Drosophila melanogaster: one gene and its partners. The protein of the gene in region 3 interacts with the protein of the main gene of each other region in a pairwise test. Each region holds a gene or a part of one and is shown on either strand. Other genes may lie near its edges. The genes, in order: CG14207, Xrcc2 and CG42390.

What was found.
Region 1: the proteins of CG42390 (region 3) and CG14207 interact in a two-hybrid assay, tested with the Drosophila melanogaster proteins (one large-scale study listed by BioGRID).
Region 2: the proteins of CG42390 (region 3) and Xrcc2 interact in a two-hybrid assay, tested with the Drosophila melanogaster proteins (one large-scale study listed by BioGRID).

The regions. Positions count from the first base shown.
Region 1 is NC_004354.4:19,602,867-19,612,608, forward strand, and holds CG14207 (uncharacterized protein), read left to right. Parts: upstream 1-2,332; 5' UTR 2,333-2,637; coding exon 2,638-2,816; intron 2,817-6,596; coding exon 6,597-6,623; intron 6,624-7,271; exon of another isoform or gene 7,272-7,296; coding exon of another isoform or gene 7,297-7,388; intron 7,389-7,514; coding exon 7,515-7,596; intron 7,597-7,661; coding exon 7,662-7,757; intron 7,758-7,829; coding exon 7,830-8,024; 3' UTR 8,025-8,407; downstream 8,408-9,742. Other genes in the region: tyler, read left to right, coding at 8,891-9,077, 9,146-9,333, 9,422-9,742.
Region 2 is NC_004354.4:18,496,330-18,501,780, forward strand, and holds Xrcc2 (X-ray repair cross complementing 2), read left to right. Parts: upstream 1-3,797; 5' UTR 3,798-3,852; coding exon 3,853-4,605; 3' UTR 4,606-4,929; downstream 4,930-5,451. Other genes in the region: Pgant7 (polypeptide N-Acetylgalactosaminyltransferase 7), read right to left, coding at 80-1,173, 1,616-2,092, 2,903-3,107.
Region 3 is NT_033777.3:22,117,116-22,123,979, forward strand, and holds the start of CG42390 (uncharacterized protein), read left to right. Parts: upstream 1-2,945; 5' UTR 2,946-3,347; intron 3,348-3,731; exon of another isoform or gene 3,732-3,856; intron 3,857-6,829; 5' UTR 6,830-6,864. Other genes in the region: Ir94b (ionotropic receptor 94b), read right to left, coding at 1-134; Ir94c (ionotropic receptor 94c), read right to left, coding at 525-2,339.

The DNA of each region.
Region 1 (9,742 bases), on a different chromosome or scaffold from region 3:
TCGATTTGGAATGGACTATGAGTTTAAGTGGGATGACATGCCGGCAAATGACTAGAGCACTTATATATATACACTTATATATATATATATAAATATATGTATATACACTTGCTCTGCTTTAGCTTCGTCGAGAATTCTCTGGTGACGTGGGGAAAATTTGTTTTCCCAATTTCTTGTCGATCTTCACGAGATTTGTACATTCGTATGTACATATGTATGTACAATATGTACGTTCTTTCAGTTGGCTTGGCAAAACAATAATACACATACTGCACACTCATGTTTCTAGATGATTCCTACAATATTTATTAGATCCACCTAGATCATTGGAATTTATGAAATCAAACAAAATTGATTTGAATGATTTGAAAAGGCACAAAATACAATTGAATTAAGACTGAAACGTGCACGAATGTGCAAACTTGGAATCCTCTTTTCAAAAATTAATTTTGTTTGAATACCGATATGTATGCTTTGTGGGGACACTGGGGACTTCAAGGTCGAGATTATTGATGAAAATGAGTTTGTTGTTTGGACAGGGGGCATTAGCCATTAGCCATTGCGAGCATGTGGGCGCTGTGAAAAATACATATGTACATATGTACACATGTATGTATGGATGTACAATGAAAACACCTCAGCCGTTAAGCCACGATGATTGTCGTTTTATTTTCGAAATTCGTGATTAAGTCTATAATTATTTTGATGGCACAACTGCCGTTGTCCCCGATGGAATTTCGAGCAGTAAAACGGTCACGGATTCAAAATATTGCATTTTAATATGTCGCACTTGCACTTAAAAAAAAAAAACAAAAGAATGTAAGTTATGTGCAGGCAATAACAGCTTTAAAAGATATCAAATTTCCAGCTAATGAGTTTTCTTATGGATGAGAGATGCAATTGTTAAGTTGAAGAAAAATCTAGTTTGTCTAGCTAAATATGCATATGGTTCATAAAACTTATGAATATATATCGCACATTTTTTCTGCAGTTGCAACTTTGCAATCCGGCTCTCATTAATTTCAATTTAAATTTTAATTCCCCTGGCCGACGCTCCCTAAAAGGAATTGAATCGAATCGAATGGACTCGACTTGGCTCGATTCCCGATTCTCGACTCCGACCGCCAATGTCACGCGGCTGAGTCATTTCGCATTTGTTTACAAACAAACCGATGCGGCGGAGTGGGTAGTACCATGGATATGGCCAAGCACACTGGCAGAAAACGACACAGATACTAAGATACTATAATGCCTCTCTGTTAGATTAGGAAACATATCCTATTATAGCTAACAAGCTTACAACAGTACAATTTCCAATCTTAGCTCAGCATAGAGATATTTAAATTTACATATGTATATATGACATATATTTTTCTGCGTGTATTTGGGCCGCCAACGTTCTCCACCCACCCGGTCTAATATTGGGATTTATCGATTCGCACAATGGGCGGAATTGGCTTTTTGATTTAAGGTCTTAATGATGATGAGCTCTGGGTGTAAGTAACCCCGCGAATATGGACAAGATATCGTGGGCCATCACGCCATAGATGTTCTATTTTAGGACGATGGATAATGCCAACCCACCGCAGGACGGAAAATGCACTTTCCACCAATGTGCAACTCTCTCTCTCTCTCTCTCTCTTTCTCTCTATACCGAAGATCATTTCCCAAAACGGTAGGAAGCGTTGATCGGTTAACCGGTTAACTCAACACGACTCATACTCACACTTTCCACTCGCACTCACAGCACACAAATGCTGAACCAGATGCAATTGGAATCACAGTTCGAGGAACTCACTTCCATGACTGAATGGCTCCCACGCGAGAAGTTTTAAGCATACTTATCAAGATCAAGTTGATCATCAACTAATTAATTGTTGCTAATTGAACACTTGTTCCTAGAAAGTTTTTTAGGAGCTTTGAAATGTGTTATGTTATTTCATTGCATTTATGAATTACTAGCTTATTAACGGAAAATAAATCATGGCTTCCTTGTTTTCGGTCATTTTGTATAAACCAAATTTGTCTTACAACTATTGTTTCACTTCTAAATGTGTTCCCCGTGCGTCATTATTTCCATAAAATACAAAATCAATACAGCGAATATAGTGTTTTGGGTGGTCCGCTAACGATTAGTGGTTAAAGTACGCTTAAACAATTCCCTTTGCGGATAGAAGTTCTTTTTGATCCAATGGCAATAGAAACATAATCAAATCCGCAAATCGATGACTAAATGCGGCTTCATCGGTCTATCGATATCGCCACACTGCTGCGCAGCGGCAATCGAAGTACAATCGGTACGAAAGCTATAAAAGCAAAGACACACTGTGAATGCAAAACAGTTCAGAAATTGAAACGCGGCTATCTGTGCGATACGTCCAACCGAAATCACACACTTGAACGTCTTGAGTTTCGAATACATATAGAAAACCCATCGAGTTCCCTTTTTTTTTGGTTGCTCCGTCGATTAGCAAGTGAACAAGCTCGAAAGCGCGTTGAGCAGAACAGAACAGAACAGAGAATAATAGAACGGTATACAGTATATACAGTATATACGGTATACAGTGTACAGCGAAGAGATTGGAGATTCCATCTAGCGAAGCAACCACCAAATAAACCACCACAAACAGCACAACAATGGCCGAGGCTAACAAGAGGAATATCCCCATCAAGCTGGGCGACTTCAGCGTCATCGACACGGAGTTCAGCAACATCCGCGAGCGCTTCGACTCCGAGATGCGCAAAATGGAGGAGGAGATGGCCAAGTTCCGTCACGAGCTGATGAACCGCGAGGCGAACTTCTTCGAGTCCACCAGGTAAGCGTAATAGTGATACAAGTGGGATCCCAACACTGGGATAATTCCACATAGCCTGATTCTACCGGGTGTACTGCGATGGAACCCAATCCCGAATCGCTCGACTCATCGCCTCGTTGTTGGCTCCTCTAAATATAGGCGCACATCTTGCCACATCGCCCACTGGTCTGGAGCTCTTCACCCACAGATTCTCCTACGTATGTACATATGTACATACGTGCATACATACATATGTATGTACTAAACAGTGGGCCTCATAGGAGGCGAGCGGCCCGCTTCAATTCTCGCCCCAGATACACTATGTGTATTTCTTTGCCGTCGCTCTGGGGGAGGATGAGTCACCAGTTCTAAATTCTCCGCCGCTGTCTCCGGCCAAGAAACACATGTGTATCTGCTGCCCGCCACCCGCTAGTAAATCCCCCTCCCCCGCCCCGGCACATGGCTAGCCAGCGTCTTGTGCCCTCCCCTTTCGCTCGATCTCGAGTCCCATACGGTTTATGCAACCGTTATGTAGGGCATAACGGAATTTTTCGAACTTTGAGAATCACCTGTGCCAAGATATTCCGTTATATGTGTGTGTGTGTGTGGGTTTCTAGCTGAGCAGAAAAATGTAATTGTTGATAATGAGATAAGATATTAAAATCTGGTCTCTGCGAGCAAAATTAAATATTTGAAAACGCAAAGCATTGAAACGATCGGTGGCACACATGAATAATGTTCATTAAATCTCTAACTATTTCCATTTGTAGTTACTTGTTTTTAAAGCATACATAAGTGACAAACGCGTTTACCTAGCAATCTATTTCCATTTGCAAGTCAATTAAGTGATTCGGCGGTATTTTAACACCCTCGCATATTCATACGAATCAGAGAGAGGGAGAGAGAGAAATTCCAGTTGAATGTTACGAGTGGCATTTTCAATGAACATAGGTTTATTGCCCAAATCAGCGATTAATAAACAAACAATGCCCCAAAGGCGAATGGCAAATACTATGTCGCCGACGCCGTCGCGGTTGCGCGTCTCGTTAGCCTTTCCATTGGAGTTGCGTTGCGTGGGCGCCAGTTTTGGTTGCTATTGGGACGACCTCGCCGTATGACGCAATCGAACCGATGGACTCTATTTGTTGTTGCCTTCGCCATGGTCGCCACTGCATTTGCATGGCCACAACAGAAATGTTACGACTCCACCCCCCTCCCCCCCACCAGACTTCCGTCTGTTTCAGAACTTGGTAGCGCTCCTCTCCACAACTTTGCCCATTCAACGTCAAAGTTGGCAGTGAAAGGAAATTAACCCAAATTGGTATTGTGCCCTCCTGGCTGCAAATTTAATTGGAAATGAAGGGAAACTCACAGTGGCGGCATAAGTTGTGCGCCAGGGCTTGCTTCGGGCGATTAGCCTAATAATCGCCACAGATTGGCCACGTAGTTTAGTAGCTTAGTAGTAGTATTGGATATATACTTGCCAAATAATTCAATCATTCGCCCATAACTGCCCACTGTCCGCAACCTTTGACCTAAGCGGCTTGGCTGTGGCTGTGGCGTGTTGTCAATTGAAGCGCTGCGTGATATCTGAATGACTCAGCACGGAATAAACGCACGCCCCATATACAGGGCAATAAATCCATACAGGTAGGTGTATCTATGCCCTACCGAAGTTGCCACTTGAAGCAATAGTTTATGCTTTTAACTGGATACATTCCCAACAATGTATATTTTATTATTATGGCATAAGAAAAACATGTTTACAAACATGCAATTCCTGCGTAGCTGCCAAAAGCTGTTCAGGCCATTTGCACATTTTAAATAAAACTTTCTTGAACATATGTATGTATATACATACATATGTGTATGTATGTACGTACTGTCACATACTAACGATAGATTGTGTGTAGTGCAGGGCCTCATTTAACCAACTTGGCCATAAGCAAAGACCGCACATCAATGCTGGCGCCTTCAGATATGAACAATGTGCGGATTCAGATGGATTTGGATGCGGTTCCCAGTAAAATAGATTGGTGCGATTATCTCATGCAAATGCATGGAAATTGTATTGGCCAGATCGGATCGGATGGGATGGGATGGCTACCAAACATAGGCAATGCCAACGGTTTGCCTAATTTATAGACTCATTGTGTGTGCGCACAGTTTAAACAAATAAGTGCGCTAGGATCGTACATACATACATACATATGCACATATTTAACCAGCAAATAGATCTGTGCGAAAAGCTTTCGCACACACGGACAGTTTTCAGTTGCGATGAGCACACGCTGCGGCGATTTAGTTGCCAATATTGTTGGCTGGATGCTGATAATTCAAATGAGCAGCGAACTGCGATGATATCATGTCAATTTTTAGCTATTGCGCTGCGCTTCGACTCGATGCTATTCAATTCGATTTCAATCGATGACAAAACGCCGATCGTCGTCGATAATCGATATTTTAATTCGACATTTGTTCACACACACACGCACACACGCGTACACCGCAAACAACTAAAGAGAGCCATTTTGTTTGCGCTTGTTCTGGTTTTTTGGCCGCCTCTCGCGCCCGTGTTTATTTTCGTTCTTCTTTGGTTTCCTTTCGTTTGGCTTTTCAATAACGAAAAAATATGCATGACATCATTGTCATCAGATGCCAGCGAGATATTGTAGTCGCACCACACACACACAACTCACACACATGTAAAAACGTGGGCTGGCCGGAGAGGGTGGGAGTGAGAGCGGCTGCCAGAGTGGGAGGGCAGGTGCCTCTTCATGCTGTCCAAAGAAACTTTGGCCAGGCGGCTAACGGTTATTGGTACTTATCATTAGCGCGCTATTGATTTCTCTCTTCGAGGGGCGATCAACCTCGCAAAGCACATTGCAAGGTCGCCAATAAGCCCACGCACGTTCACGTTTCGGCTCCGATTGATAAGCTTTCTCTGCCTCTGCTCAGAATTTGCGGAGTGCCAATTGATGGCCGCTTATCAACGACTCTCGCTCGCATGCACACACACACAGATACACACATACATTTTGGCTTCATCGCCGACACGCACAGCGGCTTAACGGTCAATCAAATCCCGTAAGCTAAGAATGCAAATTAAGGTGAACCATAAAAAATATTTAAAAAAAAACGACTTACCTATCAATTGATGTGAGAGTGAAGTGAAGAATACAATATTATTTAAAATGAAATCACAAAATTTTAATAAGTGTAGATTTACTAATTTGAACTAAAAATAAAAATTATTGTGAAAAAGCAGTGCGACAAAATGTAATACAAAGTGAACAATTATGGACCAATGAATTATTTCCTGGGTAAATATGTAAATATTTTATGCATACTTTCCTCTATTGTAGGTAATATACATATTCTTTTTTTTTAGATGCTATGCTTGAAACACTTGGATCTTAATAGATAAACTTGCATTCTAAAGGAAATTGGGGACTGGAAGTGCGGAAAACAAAGGAGTTATCATTAATATATGTACATATGCATAAGAAACATGTACCAAAAATGATTAAATATTAATTACAAGAAAACATATGAATGGCTTGAAATTTTCATTGATCATTGTTAAAAATTCCAGAACTTTAATATCGAGTCAAGGCTGTACCTTTATAAAATAGTTAAAAAATTGCTCACCCTTGTACGATAATGTGTAGTTATCTTTTTGTCTAACTCATTATAAACAATTTCTATCTATTTTTCTCTTTCTTGCCGCTTGGAAATATTAAACAACCGCAATAATTTCCACATAATAATAATCTCCTCTCCTCTCTCTTAAAACAAAAGCTCTACTAAAAAAACAACAACTACCAGGTACAATAACGTAGAAAGTTTACAACCTAAACTTTTATTTTCTGTTTATCCTCAATGTTTTTTTCATTCACTCAACCCCTTATTGTTTGGTAACTAATGTATTGGTTTAATGTTATTGCAATCCACACAGACTAAACTAGAAACTCGTTACCAGATGCATCGCATGTTAATCGCCAAATATACACTATAACATTTATTTATAAACAATTTTGAGCCCGGTATAGACGCAAATACATAACTAGAAATGCATACAGTTCGTTTAAAACTAAAAGATAAAATTATAAAAGTTGTAAGTATAGGCAGTTTTTCATAATAGAAAACCGTTTTGATGCGATCCATACATACATATGTACATACATAGATACATATGTATGCATACAATTTCAAGGAAGCAAGGAATAGTTTTATTTGTAGTCTAGATACATGAAGCCTTAATTCTCAATTCCCTTATGGGTAGTTCCTTAAAATAGAAATTATTACAGACATATGGGGAGATTTATGTTTCGAGGGTGACAGCTGCTGCCCCCAGATCCGTACACATGTACATACATACATACGTACATCGCTTTCAAGCGGAAGCCAGATCTATTATTAGACAGGCGTCGAGCATCGCGGCTTCATTTAAGTTGGGTTCGTTACGTCCGGATCAGTTTCATCCCGGAGAAGCATCAGCATGGAGGCCTTTACGCGCACACTGCAAAATACCTTTCGCAGCACTAGGACCACCAGAACCACTACTACAACAACCACAAACTCCTCCACCAGGTTCCTACCTCACCTACGCAACCCTAACACCTTTGGTTTTATTTCGAGTCTACTTGTTCTTAAGTTTCGCTTCAACACTCAACTGCAATACTCATGTACAATATGTTCGTCTCAACTTATTTGCAGCTCAACGACAAACTCGGCGCTGCCATCCCGAATCCCAAAGCAACAGAACTACGTCTCCGACATTAGCTCACCCTTGATCCAGGTAAGCAATGCAAGGAATCTACTCTTGGTTGCCAAAGGATAACACTTATATATCCCCCTTTGCAGGATGAGGGCGATAACAAAGTGCTGAAGCTGCGTTTCGATGTCAGCCAGTATGCGCCCGAGGAAATTGTTGTGAAAACCGTCGACCAGAAGCTATTGGTAAGTCTCTGCTCAGGATGGTTATGTTTTGCAGAGTTTATCTAACATGGATATCTGATTCCTTTCGACTAGGTGCACGCCAAGCACGAGGAGAAGTCGGACACAAAGAGCGTGTACAGGGAGTACAATCGGGAGTTCCTGCTGCCCAAGGGCGTCAATCCCGAGTCCATCCGCTCGTCCCTCAGCAAGGACGGAGTCCTGACCGTGGACGCCCCCCTGCCAGCACTCACCGCCGGCGAGACACTGATTCCCATTGCGCACAAGTGAAGGCCAGCCCAGTTGTCCAGTTGTCCAGCTATCCAGTCACCATGGTCCCAAGCCGGTTGAGGAGCAATAGGCGCAGGAGGAGCAGGAGGAGTGCGAGCTGCTGCCGATCAGATTAAATCCATACACACATTGAGTTTAATCCAATCCTATCTAAATGATTAATTTTTTTGGTTCTGACTTAAAGCTAAACTATGTTACTGACGTACTACTCATTAACTTAAATATAATTGAAATTATTATTAAATTTGATTAATTTAATTCATATTTATAATTTTCGCATTAAACGTAATCAATTTTGCCGTAGTTGCCCCCCATTGGTTTTCCTTTCCTTCCATCGAAAATAAATTAAATATATATCCAACTGAGCGGATTTTGATCAGCGGATTTGTGCATCATTGACTAATTAGCTGCTGCTGAGCCATTTTCACTTTTTAAACGCTGAATTGAAATGATGATGTGCCTTTCCCTTTAGGGAATCGTGAGGCTTGAATAAAGTATATGGATTTCATTTATATTTGACTGTGGTGAATGATATTATTTATGATACAATACAACTTTTCTTTGCAATCGAATATACGGGGATATTTTAAATGGGGAAAAAATCCATCATACGGGCTTGGCTTGACGTTTCAGTTCAACATTCAATATTTCTTTTCCACTTAAAGTTCGTTCCGAAAAACCTTCGACTCAGATAGCTTGTGTGCAACACAAGCTAACCAAATTGTTGACGCTGCTCAGGGATGTCTTCCCTGGAGACCGGTGGTCCTGTCTAGTTGCAATTAACCAAATTGTGAGGCGACATCTCGCCGGAAATACTCAAATCCGATTTTCTAAATCGCCTTTCAAAGCAAATACAAAACGAAAAGATGCCGCCGCAGCTAATGTCCCAGATGGAAAATGGCGGCGAGGAGGAAGGGTGTCGTTTGGAGTGCAAGGAAATGGATCCGCTGCGGCTAACCACGCTGATCCTGAGTGCGGATCCACGGTATCGCATCAAGCCAATGCAGCAAGTCGTGTCCGCCCTCGTTGGCGGTCTCATCACGACATTTGTGGGTGAGTTTGTCGGTTAGATTTGGTCACTCCGAGACGTAATCTAAACTACCTACTACACTCGGCCGTAGTGACGCCCTTGGAGGTGGTGAAAACGCGCGTCCAGACGCAGCACGCGATCCGCCAGCGACCGACTGTTTCGAAGCTCTGCTACGTCTATCACAACGGCCTGATGACCCACGTGTGCCGCTCCAGTGATATCTGTGTCCCGAAACCAGGCCGTGATCCGCAAAATCTTCGGCCGCTACGCGGCGCCATGGTAAGAAGTGGCATGGCTACTAGGAGGATGATCCCTTATATGCTCATATTAATCATTATTATGTACATATCATATTTTTCGTGCTCAGGATGCCTTTGTCAAGATCGTGTGCACAAGTGGATTCAGTGGTCTGTGGGCGGGTCTAAGTCCCACTTTAGTTTCGGCCCTGCCCTCCACGATTATCTACTTTCTGACGTACGAGTATATTAAGAATTCGCTATCCCACATCTACTTGGTCTCGCAGAAGTTTGAGGAATCCGGCATGAAGGACCAAGTGCCTGGAGCCGACGGCGGAGATCCCCTGGACCAGGCAACCAGGGGAATAAATGTGAGCGCCACCGCACCGGTATCCACCGCATCGCTGCCCTACTACGTGCCCATGGCCTCGGGCATTTGCTCGCGCACCATT
Region 2 (5,451 bases), on a different chromosome or scaffold from region 3:
CCCCGTTGCCCCGGCTGAAACCCTTGTGATCCATTCCTTGATCCTCCTCCTCCTGCTGCTCCTCCCAAACATGCTGGACTTACCAGCGTGGGCGTATCTCCTTGAACCACCACTGCTGGTAGCTATCGTTAACATCGCAGTGACCCAATGACAATTGCTGCGTGGCCGGATGCAGGGCCATGCATTTCTTGTGGACGCGATGCATCAGGTGCTTCGTGTGCTCGTTGTACTGCCAAGGACCGTCGACTGTCCCCAGACGACACACGGCCAGTTTGATGCCCTGCCGATCGGCCTCCACGCAGCGCTCGCCGACGCCCAACTGGCCAGCGGCATTGAGCCGAACCAGTTGATTATTTCCGCCTCCATGGCAGTATGTGAGGCCCATGATGGCCGGCGGCTGGTGGCCCATCGAGTCCAGGCATCCGTCGGAGGCCACCGAGCGCAGCTCGCCCCAGTGCAGGTTGGCCGGCAGACCCGGGAACTTGTCGTACACATCGTAGGCGATGTGGTCCATGAACCACTGGAAGCTCTTGCAGTTCAGTCGCTTCTTCAGCGCCAGTTGCTCGCTAATGTCGCCCATGTCCAGGTAGCGGGCAAGCGGCTCGCGCGTATAGAAGTACTCCTTGTGCGTGTCGTCGAACCACGTCTCGATGACGCGCTTGTAGTTGATCGTGATCAATGGACCCTTCTTCTTGCTAGCCAGTTTGCCGAAATTGTAGGGCATAAAGCCGCGATAGACGTGACCCACGCGAGAGCATGGCACCCACTCGATGCTGCCGCCACACTGCCAGATCTTGAAGCTCAATTCGAAGTTCTCGCCGCCCCAGACCAGCAGACCCGGATCGTAGGCGCCCAGCTCCAGGAAGTACTCCCTATTGATGGCGAACAGGCCGCCGGCGTGCGTGGGACTGCGATAGGGTTCCGAGTTGTGAGCACGGCGGCGCTGCTCGCGACGTGGCACCTCGTTCTCCTTGTACAGCATGCCCCATTCGAAGATGCCGCGGAAGTGGTTGTCCGTGCCATAAACCGGCCGGTACTCAAAGTTCTTGTGGTCAATGCCATCGATAATGGGCACTGTCATCACAGTGCGATCCCGGTAGATGGGCGCCAGCAAGGGCGGCAGCCAGTTGGTGTTTACCTCGCAATGGGCGTCCAAGAAGACGATCACCTCACCTGCGGGATGCAAAGCAGTTTAGTGTTTGTGTGGATATTTATAAGGTTGTGGGTTAATATGATGATTTAAAGGATGATGCTTTAAAATAGTAATTTGTAAATTTCTATGCATACTGTTTATGCTAAAAGGCTTGTTTGAAATCGACGATAATCTTGCTTCAATTGCAATGATAGGCAATTCTATTATGCTGAGAAAATGTAAAAGAAATTCAATGAGTCTGCAGTTTAAAGGTTTATCATTGCCACAAAGCGGAACGTGAAGTTATCTTCAATTCAAATTCCAAATAGCTGGCGTTTCAGCGTTTGATGCAAACATCTCAAGATAAAACTATTGTTTTCCATACAACACGTTCTTTTAACTATGCGATAAGCCGTCATGAGTTATGCAAGTTATGCAAGAACACATAACAATATACATAAATGAGATATGGGCTATACGCACCTGTAGCCTCCATGGCTCCCCTGGATCTCGTTCGGATGAGACCTTCGCGCTCCTTGTTCCTGATGACCTTGACCAGCCCCTTGAACTGCAGCACATACTCGTCCAGCTGGCTGCGCAGGTTCTCCTTGTCGGAGAAGTCATCCACCAGGATGATCTCGTGCAGCATGTGCGTGGGCGAACGATCGATGACCGAGTGCACGGTGCGCATCAGCACCGAGAAGCCCTCGTTGTGGAAGACAATGATGACGCTCGTGCGCGGCAGATCGAAGGGGTAGTCCCAGTGGCGGCACTCTTCGAGCCGCGTGTCCCGCACCGATCGGTGCATCGATATCTCATCGGAGCAGGCGATGTTCATGCCGTACTCCATCTCGGAGGCGTCCGACATGTGCTTCTTGTCCGGCGACAGGCTGTGGGCCTCGCCATTCTCGCCAGGCCCGCTACGTGGCTTCACATCTTTCGGCTCAAAGTTGCCAAGGCCTGAAAAACGCAAAAACAAATTGTGAGTGTGGCGCGTGCAAATTACCTATGCAAGCTTACAGCAATTGTTTAAATATTGGCCCAGCCACTCACTGTATGCGCTTGCAGGAGGTGTGGGTTATAATTTCAGACTTATGCATAAAGGCGGGGTATTACAGACCAATAATATGCCATCATCTAACCATCTTATGGTCATATGGAATATTCTACGACTAGAATTAGCATTTGATACAAAAGACTAAAGACACACTAGTTTTGGTGGCTGTGCAGTAAAAATGACTTTTATGAGGTTATTTTCTCACTCTATCCGAATTTGATAGTTGGTTGGTTAGGGCCATTACAAAGCCGGTTTTGGAGAATGTATAATAGAATGCGATAAATATTTGAAATGGGCTCGTAAGTTAGACTGGGAATAGACTGTACGATATGGGTTGGAAAAGGTTATCCTTTAACCTCCAACCATACTTTACTCACGCTAAACGTGGTAATAAAGACTTCTTTGAATACTATGTAGCATACATGGCAAGTAATTAATTGGTTAAAACGAGCAAAAGCCGGTTTTAAGTGATATAAAGCAAAGATTACTGAATTCTTTAGCTGGGTTTGCAGTAAGCAAACAACTCGGTCTTTTCAACAATGATATGGTAACTACTCTGTATCCTTAGTTCTGATGATAGTCCTCCATAATAAAATTGTATAATACGTGAGTGAGGAATCTTAATGGCAAGGCTCACGTTATGGGTGACACAATCCTATTCTTTATCCTGGTCAAGGGCTGATATTGCTATCCTCGATCCTGTAGCCACTTACCATCGACCAGCTTGGGCACCTCCCTGGGCCTGCCCTCCAATCGCTGGTGGGCGAACTTGGGTCCGCCGAAGCGCGTGTGATACGCCTCCTGGACGCGCTTGTGGTGATCGCTCCAGTTGGCCAGCAGATACAGCAGCGGCAGCAGTACCAGCAGGCACAATGCCAGCCGGCAGATCCGACCGCTGCGGATGGTGCTCACGCGCATCTCTCCCTAATTCCGATTCCGATGCCCAGTTCCAGATTCCAGTTACAAAGTTCCAAATCTGTTGACGTGTCTAGGTGGCCAGAAAGAAAAAGCACGGCGCGGGAGACGGGAAGCGGTAAGCGGGGAGCGCGGAAAGGTGGCCACAAAGCAGAAAGAGAACAAAAGAACCACTTTTGGTTCGGATTCGAGATGCCGCTGAATGATCAAAGGCGCCCCGCCGATAATGACAATTACAAGTGCTGGGGCGAGAAGCTAACTGGAGTACACCAGCTCGTCCGCCTGAGTGATGCTTTAACTCGGTGCGGAGCAACTTGCCGGCGAAAAAGCGCCGCTGGCTTTGAGCAAATTGCGAGTGCAGGTGCACGAATATTCGCGGTGCAAACGTAAACAAAAAATGGTAGAAAACGATGTTCAACTGGTAAGAACGCGTTATGCCGTTTTTTCTATCATCGCCCAGGCGTTAGGGCTAAATTAGGCACCAGCAGCGATAGGCGGCTGGGCGATAACACAGGGTGGTGAAAATGGATTTTTTTTATGTATGTGCGCAAATAAGTCTAAATGCTAACTGAAAGTTATAACGAAACGCTTGCTGCTGTTGTTTAACTATTCGATATGCCCTAGTTCCATTTAGTGTTAAATATGTTTCAGCGCTGCGCAATTCAACTTTAGGTGGCTGTCATCGATAAAGGCCACAATCGATAACTCCTTTGTTTATGCCAGGGCGCAAATTTGTAAATTTAACCTAATGGGCTCACATCAACTCCACTTTGCCGTTTTTGGCTCCTGCGGCTTTGAAGCCGATACGCTGGTGGAGATCTCCGGCCCAGGGAACAGTGGCAAAAGCCTGGTGCTCCAACAGTTGGTGGCCCACTGCCTGGTGCCCTACAAATTCGGTGGTCGCCAGTGGAGCGTCCTGCTGATCAATCTGAGTCACAAGATCAACCGTGAATCTCTGGCCAAGAGCATTAGGATGGAGCTGAAGGCGTACTCTGTCGGCGAAGTGATTGCTGCGAAATGCCCCACGGAGGAGCAGCTGGCCGAGATTGCGGGCGAGTGCATGAGTCGCGTGCGATTCCTCAACTGTTTTGCAAACGATGATGTTTCCACGTCGCTAATCGACGCCCGCTACGCGATCATCAATGATCCTGGCATACAATTGGTTGCCATGGACACACTCAGCGAATTCTACTGGCTAGATGAGCCTAAGATTGCCAAGAGAATGTCCATGTATCGCCACTATCGATTGCTCCAGGCGCGCCTGGAGAAGCTCTGCAAGGATGCCATCGTCTGCGGCATGTACACGGTGGAGTCTGCCTTTCTGGAGAATCGTTTTGGCGAAAACTTGCCCGAGGCTGGCATAAAGTACCATGTCAGGATGCAGAAGATTCAAAACCAGATCCTCTTGAATGGACTGCCGCTGTCGTTTAGCAATGGAATTCATTTGGATACAAATACTAGCAAGGAAATTACTGAGGCATTGCTGACTCAGCCCAGTTAACATAGTTAAATTATTATTATTAATCTTAGGACAAAATGATGCTAGGAACTGAAAGAAGTAAACGATTGTATATAGAGTATATAGAGTTGATTAAATTGTATATAGAGTTGATAGGTTAAGAAAATTGTATATAGTTTAACAATTTAACTTTAATAATATCTTCCTTTTAGGGATTAGAAATTATATTTGTTATTACTCCTTTATTAGACAATTTCAAGGCCTATGAGTGAGAAAGTAATCTGTGCAACTAATTAAGTTAAAAAAAAGGTATAACTTCTACATTATCTAGATAGTTACGAACTCAAATATACTTTAATTTCCGTGATATCTTCCTAGTTTTACCCGCTCGAACAAAGAAAATTATAGTCCATATAGATCTAGAAGGAAAGTTCGCTTTTATGACTTATTCCATTCAGTAATATATTTAATATTATATATCAGTAATATTATCTTAATTAAAAAAAATACAACAGTTCTTTAAAATTGTGTTGAAACCTTCACTATGTTCTTTTTTTGTTTTTGAAGAAGGCCAACCCTACCAGAATTATACTTAAAACTAATGATTTCTAAAAGCTATACATAAGTAAGGTGGTTTTGTTTAGCAGTTTTTTTTTTCGTTTTCGTTTTCCTTTTTTATCGTTTTCTTAGCATTTTAAGAAGAAGCAATATGATGGTGTATGGTAATGGCAATTAAAATGGAGAGGAGGGGGGGGGGGGGGGCTTTTTAATGTTATCCGCCGATTGATTTTGGTAGTGCTTAAAAGCCGGTAAATTAGTAAAAATTATTATTAAATACAATCATTAATTTAAATGTAATTTCAATAAATAATTATCTGTTTAAATACG
Region 3 (6,864 bases):
AGTGTTTCCATCTTATGCAGTTTAATCATCGAACGCACAATATTGTTAAGATATTTTAGCTGTAGGAACTCAGTTTCCTGACTAACAGCCTGGCTCAAAATAAGTATAAATAGTAAATTAAATATAAGTGACATATTTCGTAATTCACGTAGTGGTATCACCTCCTGCAAATTAAGACTGAACTTCAAACATAAACCTTTTTTTTTTAGTAGTCGCGCACTCAGGTCGTGTTTAACTTTTATTTCTCAATTGACAGCTGCCACTTTTAATCTGGATTAATTTAATGGCATTTCATCAGTTTAAGTGATATTGAATGCTTGAATGATTAATCATAAAGTGTTCTTGGTATTCAGAAGTTTATTTTTTTATGTAGAACTTACGTTGTAATTTGTTCAAATTGGAAAGAAAACATATTTTTGTTCGTTTTGATTACAAAGTGTTTAGTATACATCCTTTTTAATGTATGAGTTTTTTGAATAACATTAATATGCTTATTATGGTTAAGTTTTTTCTTAGATATCTTTCTAAACGAAATCGTCATCTTCGCTTGATCTTTCTCTCATATTGCTTGTGTGTTGGTTACTTTTCTGGAGAAGTATCTCAACAATAAATACCAGTGTTGCGATACTTTCGCCAATGAACAGAAGATGCCATATCCAGCTCAAATGCTGAATGGACAAAGGAACTGCTCCCTCTTTAATCCTGCGAGGAGAGGTAACATTGTATAAAAGTTTAAGGACCTTAGGAAGTTGTTCAGTCCAAGAATCGGGAATACCCGTTTGTGGCATGTAGGTGATATACCTTGACAGCATCCATTTTAAGACCGAATTATTTCCCAGAACATACATACGTGGCAGATTCCAGGCAATGGTCAAACTTTCAGATTCGCAAAAAACCCTTTCATCAAAAGACTTTTGGACCGTATTCAACGATTTCCATGTAGTTGTGTACATTACATAGCTGTAGCTATCGTTAAAATTCCAAATCATTCTGAGAGCTTCTTTCTTTTGCAGAATTAAATAGTGGGGTAAAACGTGATCAAAGAACTCTGGATCGATATGCTTTTCGATGAAAGAGTGAGTATATTTATCCATAATAGTTATCAATCCGCTATCTCTCAACTCTTTGAAATTTCTAACCTGAGGGTTTTGAGCTGGTTTCGTTAGCAGTGCACTTAATGTGCAGCTAACAAAATTGCTATAGACAAGACCGAAAACGCTTATGACCAAAAAGAGTTGTCGCAGTGAAATGCTCGATCTGCGAAACTCCGGAAATGGCAGACCTAAAATGCCTCGAAAGGCTCGAGGATTTAGCAGTTGATTTAAGCTGGTCAGACGAACTTCTCGACCGGATATCCTGTGGGTTAGCCAAAGTATCAGGGTTTCTATCAAAACGAAAACCGCGTAGGCAATCAATAGGCAACCTATCAATTTCAGTACACCCAATTTGTGAAGTACATCCATAAAGCGCCATTTCGGACTACAGGGCACTATGACAATCAATGAGCAGGCGGTGTTGGGACTTACGAATGCCATCTGAGTGGGAAAATCTTTGGTTATGAAAAGTGGTCCTAACTGTATATCGAAATGGTCTGATTTAGACTCATTTTGGTCATATAATTTCAAACTCAAGTTATACTTAACGGCGAACTGAACAATTTCATAATCTTTGAGTTCGGATAAGGGAATTGGGCCTGATGGCGACCATACTTTAAAACGAATGTTCGAAACCACACTCTCCTTCAGGATGGCCGTTTTACCTTGGAAACTTAACCCACAGCCAAAAAAACTGGTTCGCCTTATGTTGGATATATTTGTTATTTGGCGAAATCGTGGAGTCGGATATGGATTCAATTGATGAAGTGATGGTACTGCATCGACATCTTCGTTCATTGTCACGATTATTATCTGAGCAAAATTATACCTATCGGCTTGCTGAGAGATGTAGTCCATCAACATCTTCGTGGGTTCCCTTTCGCTCCACAGTATGATCCTCTCCTGCCTCATGTTGTCCATAGCGTTGGCCAGACTTTTAAGCAGCCCATAGTCTGAATTTTCGCCCATGCAAGCTAATATAACTGCCTGGTCATTGAAGTAGCCACTAATCCGGATGGAACCCATTTCATTGGTCCTCAGGATAGGACTTCCACGTGGATTCCATTGGTCAAGATGGCAGTATTCATCCCGACTATGCTTGATTACCATTATTGTTCGAATTTCTCGACCCTCCTCTATAACATTGATGAGTTCTCTAAGGAACTTTAGCTGCGGGTTCTTGCTTCCTTTGGTCAGCGATAGATATATCAGTGGTAAAACTAATAATTTGAACACTTTTGACATTTTTAGTTAGCCTTGGGTTAGTTTAAGCAGCTCTAGAAAGTTGGAACTGAACTGAATATCCAGGAAACAACTTACCTTCCTAGAAACCAATCATAAGATAGCCAGCGACGACACCTGTCAAATGTTGTGCACAGCAATTTTAGCAATTAATTTAATTGCTATTCAATAGTTTGGAAACTCTATCCTCCTAGTATTTAGTAGATTTCGAACAACTCGAATAGGTTAATCCCCGAAAGGCATCGAAATAGCTTTCTGTTGTGTAAAGAAATAATCAAACTCAAATGAAGAAAACAATGAAATCGGTTAGCTTTAATTTTCCGGCATCTACATCATGATATTATTGCACCAATCCAGTTGCTGATCCGGAAAATATTTGCCTTTGCCACTGGGAATGTTTTTCCACATTTATGGGTCAACTGATGCTGCCATTCCCGCTCCATTTGTTTGTGCAACAATTGAGATACGATTCGGTTAACCGATTCCATTTGGCCAACTGATCGACGTCGAGTGGACCGGCATCTAGAATCTATCGATAGCGTCGGCCGAGCGACAATTTTCCTCGGCGGCAGCAGCACTTTTCCTCGCCGAAAAAGATCAGATACTTTTGCAGTCGTGTACCGTTTGCTGAACCGTTTGGAACGCGAGCGCCGTGAGACGGCATTGTGAAAAGTGAAAAATGAATTTTCCGCCCTGGGCAGTCGATGCGCTTGGAACGCCCGAGCATGTGCCATTGCCTGTCAGCGTTTAACAAGTGTTTTTCCCCAACTTTTCCCCCTACACAACATCTTGTGGGCGTGGGCCTAGCGGAAATGAGAAAATTTAATTTTAACAATTATTAATTGTCATTCAGTGTCAAATCAAATTGTGCCCTGTGTGTGTTTCGTGCTAATTGCGTAAATAATCTCCTTAAATAATTACTTTATATGACTCAAGTTAGCTGTAGCTTACACAAGTACAGCGGAAATTGTTGAATTTGTTGAGTTGTAACAAAAAAAAAAATACCTTCCAGTAAGTTGTTTTCATACCCTTAAACTGAAATTAAACAGAATTCATAGCAAAAACTGACTATAAAACTCATACCCATTTCTGCAGAATATCTAACAATATGACCTAATGTTGTAAATATGTATAGAATATATATATTTAAATAAATAGCTAGTGAAAGCAATGCTTTAAGTTGATTTTGTGTGCCATCACTGCAGATACGCATTACATATTTGTTATTGTTTGGGCTTCTGCTAAGATACACTCGATTAACTCGCTCAACACCTCAAGGCGTGCCTGTCGCAATCAATTTCTGTCGCCTGTCGCCTGCATTAATAGTTTCACTAATTTTGAAATTTATTAGATCCCCCCCCTCGCCAAAGTCTTACATATCTGTTTTATGTGTAGTAAACAGTTTTTATCACCTCCACGGGCAGTGGAACGGAAAAGTCGGGCAGTTCAGAGAGCATACTGTTTGGAAGATCATCATCAGAGGAGCAGCTAAACAGACGGGCAGGCTGAAAATCCAAAAGGCTAGTAAAAATATTAACCCGTCCCTGGGCGACGGAAAATCTATGGCCAGAATGTTTTAAATCCGCTGCCTGATCTGGCATCAGTCAATGTCAGTTGGCCCAGTGCCAGGTCGAGTGTGTGGGCGGCGACAAACAAACAATTGCCGGGCTAAAGAAATGTAAATAAATGTGGAGTATGGGGAATGTGCTCGAAGGTGTTGCATCTAAAGGCAAAGTAACTTAAATCATGACCACATATGAAACGGAGAGTACTTCACTTTCCATATTCTTCTTCCGACCAAGATGCGTGTCATGCTCGTCTAGAAAAATCATTTTCAAGTGGATTTTGTATTCAGTGTTTTGGTGCGAACCATATTCATATTGCTGGCAATGTACAGTGCGTTTCATAAAGCATTTAGCATACATGGAATATCTAAATAATAAAAAATATATGCGTCAAAAAGCGCATATTCTAAACAAATAGTTTTGAAATGTGTTTCTTTAATTTCATAATCATCCAGCATATAAAAAATAAGTATCCATATAGACCCGAAACGCACTGTACATATCAAAACTCTTAATATGTATTGCCATATATTTCTCGATTGCTAACACATGTTCAAACGACGACAAAGCATGCCAAATATTTATGGCATATTTTTTGTTTGTGGCATTTTTTGTGTCATATTACTTTAATTTCTATTAATTTTTACCTCCTCCGTCGCGATAGAGACGCTCGCCAGAAACATAAATATGTTAACACATTTTATTTTAAAAGAATTCTTTAATGGATTTTTATTGACTGAGCTTTTTGGGCCTATGGGTTGGGGCATTGGCATTGGCCAAGTGCAAAATTTATTATACATTTATCATTTATGTATCTTTTATTTTTGCGTTTCTGTTTTGCTTCACGTTAAAAATGTTTATAATTTTGTTTGCTTTGGATTTCTGAACTTGTGCAACAATTGGCAAGAAATATAAAATGTAAATTCAACAATGATATAAAGTCTATGCCATCTGGTTGAAGGCTGTAAACTTGAACGACTTATGAAGTGGGTCAGTGTTTTTTCTAACAAAAAAACAAAAAAAAAAAAAAATAGAGGAAATAAGTATATTTATTGATTTGGAGTGATTTTGATCAGCCATATAGGAATTTCCATTTCGTACCCATTATACTCGACTGCATCATTTCCGTTTCTGAATTTCGTGCCAAAAGTAAGAGCGTCATGCACTTGACCAGACCAGATCTTTCCAAATCCCCCTGCCAGCACCTTTTCACAATTCTAAAAATGTTGATCATTTGGAGGCGTTTGGTTTTTATCTATATACATTTAAAAAAAAATATCGGAATTATGTGCAAACTGCGCAGCTGTCTTTAAATGCAAATTGTTCCACGAAACATTAATTTTACTGTCGGCTTTCCTGGAATAAATCTCATCCATTTTTTTAATTAAAAATTGAGCTAAGCATGCTTTTTATTCTGATTGTCTTCAAATTTGTTTAACTTTTAATGAATTTTGACCCATATTTCAAGTACTTTATTACTAAAAAGCTAAAAACATTTAATTACTCATTAAAGGTCATAGAAAAATCAATTAATTTGTATATCCAAACTGGATTATCTATAAATCTTCTGAAACATCAATTACAGTGATCTGGCGCCGGATTTTCATTTCAATTCCAAAGTGACGTCAATGAGAGCCCTACGAGCGAAATTTTTCGAATAGATATTTTTAGTTTTATTCCGCCGATTTCGTTGCTTTGGAAAGTTGGCGGGTCTGTGTTTTATTTTATTGCTGCCTATAATTGGTTCGTTTATGTGCGGAATGGAAGAGAGCGTCCTGAACTTGAAATAGGGTAATGAAACATGGTAAACGAGAGGGGAACGGGAAGAAGGAAGTTGCACCAGGATTATGATCTTGTGCTCGGTGCATCGAAATTAGTTTATTTTTGGCCTGCTGAGTGCAATTTGAACTTTGCTTTCAGCGGAAAGACTAATGACTGGGGAGCGTCGCTGACTCATGTGTACATATATCTCTAAAAGGGCACTGGAAAAAATATAAAAATAGTAAAGAAAAATGTTTAGGGGTTGACGACTTCTTTGGTTTACTTGGCATACTTTTAGGAGTTTACTTAAAAGTACAAACTTATTTCAGTTTAAATCAGCATATTTCTTAAAACATAAGTTATGCCAACAGATTAATACTCAGTATTAAGATGATTTTAAAACTTAATAAAACTATGAATGAAATCATTTTAATAACCCAATTAGATGAATAGGTTTCACTTTTCCATTGTGCTTATTTGAATGCCTTAGGAAATTGTTGTTGCTCATCGAATGACACATAATGACGCATTACTTGGACTATAGAGTAAATGGCCCCCACTTTCTATTCATCAATTAATATGCATAAGCAATTATCAAGTTTACCAAAGGCGGTATACCCCTGCGAGCGTGTGTTCTTCCTTCTGTAAAATAATTAAAACAAATTATGCCATGTGCCTACATGGCACTTAGAAAAATATATTATGATTATTTATCATACCGAAAAAAAAAATGTTTTTTTAGTACTGCTAAATCTAATTAATCTTTAAAACAATTTTTTCTAATTACACTTGTATATTTTGTCTTTGCTTGATATTGTTTTATTCCTAATTTTTTTGAAGTGTACCAGTACTCACACGCGCGCAATGTTGTTACTCATATTTGTCCAGCATTATTGTCATCATCGTGATTATCCTAATAATCATGATGGCGATCATTATGGCTGTAGAAGTCGCATCGCTTGGATTGCCGACTGAGCGACAGTCGCAGTTTATCCGCCGACCAAGTCGAGTCAGTGAATCCGCCAAATCATATATATATATATACATATATATATATATATATGTATGTGATGCTGAGTGCGTGCGGTTAAACTAATTGACGACAATTAAACCGCCCATCCACTAGCCGCCAAAACTAATATAAAATTGTGAAAATATTTTCAACAGGTTGAAAGCATTTAAAATACAACAATATTCGAAAT